Linked DNA regions of Caenorhabditis elegans. The protein of the gene in region 1 interacts with the protein of each later gene in a pairwise test. Each region holds a gene or a part of one and is shown on either strand. Other genes may lie near its edges. The genes, in order: F11A5.13 and rpl-28.

Evidence for each region.
Region 2: the proteins of F11A5.13 (region 1) and rpl-28 interact in a two-hybrid assay, tested with the Caenorhabditis elegans proteins (one large-scale study listed by BioGRID).

Annotation. Positions count from the first base shown.
Region 1 is NC_003283.11:16,225,296-16,228,526, reverse strand, and holds F11A5.13 (uncharacterized protein), read left to right. Parts: upstream 1-1,845; coding exon 1,846-1,867; intron 1,868-1,920; coding exon 1,921-2,164; intron 2,165-2,216; coding exon 2,217-2,448; downstream 2,449-3,231. Other genes in the region: F21H7.2 (Calpain catalytic domain-containing protein), read left to right, coding at 1-52, 100-156, 203-365, 511-613, 661-909, 960-1,038, 1,087-1,208, 1,256-1,373; stdh-2 (Putative steroid dehydrogenase 2), read right to left, coding at 3,045-3,231.
Region 2 is NC_003283.11:12,726,915-12,730,223, forward strand, and holds rpl-28 (Large ribosomal subunit protein eL28), read right to left. Parts: upstream 1,199-3,309; 5' UTR 1,194-1,198; coding exon 992-1,193; intron 946-991; coding exon 767-945; 3' UTR 721-766; downstream 1-720. Other genes in the region: R11D1.13 (DUF148 domain-containing protein), read left to right, coding at 298-435, 478-588, 631-669; mrpl-49 (Large ribosomal subunit protein mL49), read left to right, coding at 1,717-1,843, 1,888-2,022, 2,064-2,218, 2,268-2,414; zfyv-19 (FYVE-type domain-containing protein), read left to right, coding at 2,607-2,666, 2,711-2,857, 2,915-3,091, 3,138-3,290.

The DNA.
Region 1 (3,231 bases):
ACCGTCAAAAGTCAAAAAGGAAAAACTACAGAAAACTGACAGGGGAAGTGCTGTAAGTACATAAAGCTGAAATTTTTAGAGTTTTCATCAAATTTCCAGCGCCAGAAAACCAAAACTGGACAGAGCAACAGGCAGAAACGGCAACAAGGAAGTGTGGTGAGTCTTCGAATTGAATTTTCATCAGATAGCTCTTTGTTTCCAGAGAAGAAGTGCAGCCGCCAAACCTGAAAACGCTACTCCAGTGGCTACAACCCCTCAAGTTCCTACTGGAAAGAACTACGTGCCTCTTCAAAACATTGCTACAACTCTACCACAGCCTCCTCCAGCTAAGGATAAGAACAAGGCACCTAGCAAAGATGCAACGGGTATGATCTTTAGTATTTTGTACTTGCATGCTGTTGGTAGCTACTGCCGGCAGGCGCTCTCTGCACGCCTGCCTGCCTTCTTGTCACGGCATGCCTATCTGCCTACCTAAGTGTCTAGTATTAGGACATAAAAATAAATTTTCAGAAGGACTCCTGAAATCATGGATCTCGAAAGCGAAACAGAAATATGTGGGAAAGAATCCGAACATCGAATCAAGTACCCTTAACGGAGATGATTCTATTATTGCGTAAGACAGAATTGGGATTTCAATGAAAAAAAAAACAAGATTTTCAGACCGGAGCAAGCCAACATCAAGCCTGAAATAACAGCTGTTTACGGCCTCCCATGTGACTATGCGCCAAAAACAATGCCCACCAACAAAGATGATAAAAGTCATCCGGAGAAACTGTTTCCGGGAGGCCGCCCGTTTTGGATGAGTAATAATGGAAAGCCACCACCGGCCAAAGTTATCACCGTAAAGGACGCGGTTGATCTATGTACCAGTGGAAAACTTAAGTTTTTGGAAAGACAGACTGATGCGCCGTTAGTTTTTGTACATTTTTAAATGAAACTCAGGTGTATTTACTTTCCAGAGAAGATTTGAATCCGTATTCTGAAGATTTGCAGGCAATTTGTGCCAAAGATAAAGAGTTCTTTTCGGATTATAAAAGAGTAAGTTTTTTTTAAAGTTTCCAAAAAACTACCAAATGCTTTTTGAAGATCTGGACCAACACGTTATACAACTTAAACCCACTCCCAACTGATGCTAAGGACCGACCAGACCCGAAATCTACCAAACCTGTGTCTTTCAAGCTTCCGACAACGACTACTGTTTACAAAAGGTTTGCATTCTTTTAGCCATTAATAAACTTACAAAAATTATTTTCAGGAGAGTTCAATCAGAGGCTCAAAAAGTCACAACTGTGACTTTCCAACCCACACCGAAAGGTCAGAAAATGAAAAAGAAGAAGTCGTCGCCAAGTAATAGCTCTGCTACCGTTGAATGATGTAGAATGAAGGTTTTGAAGTTTTGGAAAATCAGATTTTGAATAATTATGCAAGACATTACATGGCGCCTTTTAGGAATTAAGCATTAAAAAAAGACTTAACGAAACTTGGCTTTTTGTCAGCTGTGTTGACAATCTATATTTTGTGAAACTTCAACTACAAAGTGAATAAAGACTTTCACGAAAGACAGGTGCGGTTTCAGGTTCTGACACCTAATGGTTCTTGCGAGGCAGGTGGAGGTCGCAGCAAGGCAGGCACGGCAGTCGTTTTGGCGCCTGCATGGAAACACTACTACAAAGTTTTTAACACTTTTCATGAAGAAAAAAGTGAATCTGGCAATTGACATGACTTCCGATCAAGCAATTGCAATTGATGAGTCATTTCAAACATGAGGAATAGTAAATTGATAAGAATAGGATTTAAACTACCTAAATTGGTAACCTTGTATTATATTGCATTGACTTTTAGAAAATGAGTTCTTGGTGCCATCGTAGTAAGTTTATTTCTCAATTTTGATTACCTATTTTAAAATTCTATAATTTTCAGTTAATCGCTTTATATCATCGATTATTTTGCTTATTGCCTCTCTACTTTTAATAATTCTCGGTTTCATTAATATTTTGGACAAGGACGAATTTGATAAGACTTTTGTGCCATACTGGATGATTATTCTAGCCTGCCTTACAATATCCGATCAGGTTATTTTTTGGAAACTGGAAATGGATAAAGATCAGAGATCACTGGTGCTGCTAGCTTTTGGAGCTGTAATGAGAGTTGGATTAGTTTCTTTGTAAGTTTTAAGCTTCCGCAAATTTTTTAAATATTATTTTTAACTTTTTCAGCACAATTTGTTTAGTGACGGCCAAGTTGATTGTATTGAATGCAAAAGGTGATCTTCCAAATGTTCCGGAAATATTTAAATTCGGTTTTGCATTAAGCCTAGTAATCATAAGTGTGTACATTTGTATTTTTACAAAATGTTTGGTTAAAGTCTGCCTGGCACGAATTAAAATGTATTTGGAGTTGGATGTAATTCAAGAGGTGCCAGAAGACTTCCCAGATGCTCAAGTTTGAATTTTTTGTTTTGTAATTGTTTTTTTTTAAATTTCATTTTTTGTTTTATAAATTCATGTACGCCTGGCAACCAGTCTCTGTCTGCGCCTCCACCTTCTCCCCACACCTCTGTCATTTCATAGTGACACACGCGCGCCCCTGATTTGTCGGTACACAGCTCCCGACTAGCCCTGCCGCCTCATCCATTCAGTATCGCTTCTTCGGCTTATTAGCTAAGATCAAAGTGTAGTATCTGTTCTTATCGTATTAACCTACGGTATACACTCGAATGAGTGTAATAAAGGTTATATGATTTTTGGATCCTAGGAAAGACTCGGGGCTTGCTCCGACTTTCCGCGGGTCGTACTGGCGTTGCACTGCTGCCGGGCTCGGCCCAGTCCCCGAGGGGACAAATAAGCTTATGAATTTAGACTTATAGCTTCGTACCTCGCCGGGATGTTGTGTTTTATCAGAATTTTAAACAGTTGTCAAGCCAAATTTAGAAAAAACCGTTGCTCTCAAGAACAGTTCTATGTATCTAGATGACTATGAGTAATTCGAAACAAAAACAATTTTTATAATAATAAAAGACATTCGATAAGGTTTCAACTAATTGTCTACGCCAAAGGCTTATTTTCGCTCTTTGCAAGAGCCTTCTCCCTGAACTCAGCGTTTCCTTTCTTAATGGATCTGTCGATTACAAAATCTGGAAGCAATTTCAAAATTTCACATTGAATTTGATGAGCGATATATCCAGTTGTTTCAGATGCATGTCCAATTGTGTTTAGAGCTGATCTGGCAAAT
Region 2 (3,309 bases), 3.5 Mb from region 1:
AAGCAAGTGAATGTGCTTTTCAAAATCTGAACATTTCTAAATACAAAGTTTTGGAAGTGTACTTTTTTACAACCATAATTATATTATAACAAACAGTAATTTTCAGTCAGACACCATTTTCATATTTCTCGATGCTGAAAAATTTGCAACAACTTAGGATAATCCCAAAGAACCGATCCAAATGAGAAAAAATACCATGCCCTATAACCGGTTTCAACTGAACCTAAAATGTCGTGATCGACCTTTCGTCGAATGCATGCCCATTCAACGTTGAGCCGATTTGAGTGCTATTTCAACATGAAATTTTTGATTCTGTCCTTTCTTCTCGTATCAATTTGCTCTGGAGGTGGTGGATTCCCGATTCAAATGTTGACAAAATGTGGAATTTCAAAAGAAACCATTGATGGCGTTCAAAGTGTAATCGACGAACATTCGGTATTTTTAAAACGACTTCTTAGATATTGAAAAATTTTTCAGGCAATGATTAAAATTGCTAACTCGAACAAGCGTGCCAAAAAAACCGAAATCGATTCTTTGAAGGCAGATATTGATTTATATTTAGATGAACATGCATCTGACGACGACAAGGTAGGATTTCTAATCTAAATTTTACATATTTATTTTTTCCAGAAAAGATGGATTGAGTGCTTCACAAAGAACAACTCCTAATTGTCTTGATTTTTCACTTTTTTTTTGAATAAAAAATTTTAACGTGTTGATAAGCTGTAACACTTTATATTCATAACAACAACGTAACAAACGTCATTTATGCGTCAGTCTTTTGGACCTTAGCCTTCTTCACTTGGGAGCGGACGATGGCGGCGGCACGACGTTGAGCGAGCTTGTTGAACTTGTTGAATCCGGCGTTCTTGGCCAAGCGACGGACTGAAGCAACTGGGGTCTTGCTCAAGGTGGAGGTGGTGACGGCCTTGGCTGGTCTTCCCTCTGAGAAAAAACAGTGTAAAAAATAAATTTTTAAAAAATCTCTTACTCTCGTTCTTGGTAGATACAACGACTCCCTTGGCGGCGGCGCTGACGTCGATGGCGTGCTTGTTAGCGAGTCCACTGTATTTTGGGCTGTTCACCTTCTTGAGGTTGAACTTCTCAGTGGAGAATCGCTTTCCGATTCCGCGCTGGGTTCTGAGGAAAGCGCTGTTGTTGCGGATGACTTGCCACACGAGAGCGTCGGACATTTTACCTGGAAATAAATTATTTTATGATGAAAGTTAAATACAATAAGATACAACGGGAAACGTAAGAAAAATTCAATAAAATCAATTGTACACGTAGGTTTTCAAGCAAATTTAAGAATACAATTTTACAAAGTCCTAAATGTCATTTTTCCTGCTCAAACTTTTGACTGAAATGCATAAAAATTCGCTGATAAAAACAAGCAGAATACGCCAAAATAGTTGCAAATTATAAAATTTACAGAATTAATACAAAAAATTCGATATTTTACTCAAAAAAATGGAAAAAAAGAAGAAAAATAAATTAAACTTTCGTTGAGCTGGCCTAAAATCTAATAGCAAGCGCGCTCCATTGCCAAACGGTGTAAACGCGGAGCCTCGTTTGCGTGTAGTTTTTATCGTAAATCGACACAACTTCTTTCAAAATAAATTATTTCTTATGAGTAATTTTCTGCATTCTATTGTTGTGTTTCAATTAATCTTATTTTTAATTTGATTTTATTCAAAATTATATAATTTTATTAAGATGCTGGGTTCTTCTCTCCGCATTTTCTCCCCTCGAGCAGTTTCCAGGTTGTCTTTTTCAACAACTTCAGTCGAAAAAGCTGAGAAACTTTGGGAAAATCCATGGAAACATGCTCTCCCTGAAAAGTGTAAGTTATTTATTATCATATAATTTTTCTACTAGCAATTACAGCCAGAAGTCTTGCAACGGTCGAAGAAGCTCCTATCGATTGGTCGTATGTGGAAAGATTGATGCCAATAGAAGTGGTGCCGAATGTTCCTGAGCACGAAAAGTATCCTACACCAAGCGGATGGACACCACCGACAGGTATATACAGATTAAATTCATACCGCATCGAAATATTTCAGAAGCAGCCAAGACACATCAATACTACATTCGACGTCGTCATGACCATCTTCTTCCTCTTTATTTGGAACGAAAAAGGGATTTACTGAATGAGAAAACGTTGGATTTTGATTATGTCGAGCTAGTAACTATCAGAAACGTCGACGGAGACATTTTTGTAAGTTGGGAACATTATTAAATCCTGAATCAACATAAATATCTTTCAGGCTTGCGAAAATGATCTCCGCTCCTATCTTGAAGAACATCTTGGACATTCGATCGCCAGTCACGTCGATGAGTTGAAAGGTCGTATCAAAATTAAAGGAGCTCCACGTGTTCTTATTGAGCAATTCTTCTACAGCAAAGGATTCTAGATGTATTCTTGATATATCTTTTAGTTTTTTATCTAGGCAGATTTGTTTTGTTGTGAATTTATTGTTGGAGAATGAACTAGAAAAATTCAATTGTCTACTTTATCATTTTTACCTTCAAACCGGTTATTTCACCGTCATTTCCTTATTCTCTTCATTTTGTATCATTGCGAAATGCCGAAATTCTTCTCTAGAATGCCTTCCTCAATTTGTTGCACAAACTGCAGAACTAAATATTCATTATTAAACAGAGAAGTTATTTTCTGGCATCAAAAACTAATTAATTTCTATTTTTTCAGGCCGGCTGCTCGAATTGTGCTCTCTCCTTCTGTAAGAAATGTCTGCCTCATCGTGCAATTATTCCCACACTTTCGGATTTACCAATGATTGTCTGTAACAATTGCTATCAAAAATTGGAATCTGCCAAAATGAAGCCCAGCGCGACTGTAAGAAAAAGAACAAAGTAAAAACTAAATAGATATTAATCCCACGATTTTTTTCAGATAACATCAACGCCTCTACCAGATAATTCGAATAAATCGAATAAAAATTGGTGGGGTGATGGACTTCCACCGCCATCATTCAGGAATTCGCACACAAATCAAAATCAGATTAAAAATAGTGAAGTCAAAGCAACTAAATTCAGGAATTCGCCAGAAATTCCATCGCAGCAGACCAAGGTAATTAGCGTCACGGAATTTTCTTAATTTATTTTTCAGTTTTCAGCCAAATTATCCGACCAATGACCTGGAACAGCGAAGACTTAAACTGCGAGAAGATATTTCACCACAAATTGAACCACTCAGTATATCAGAAATTGAAGAACGATTAGCAAAACTTCGAGAATGTGATGTAGAAGTGATACGTAATCCTCAAAGTGTAAGTTGGACAAGGATGT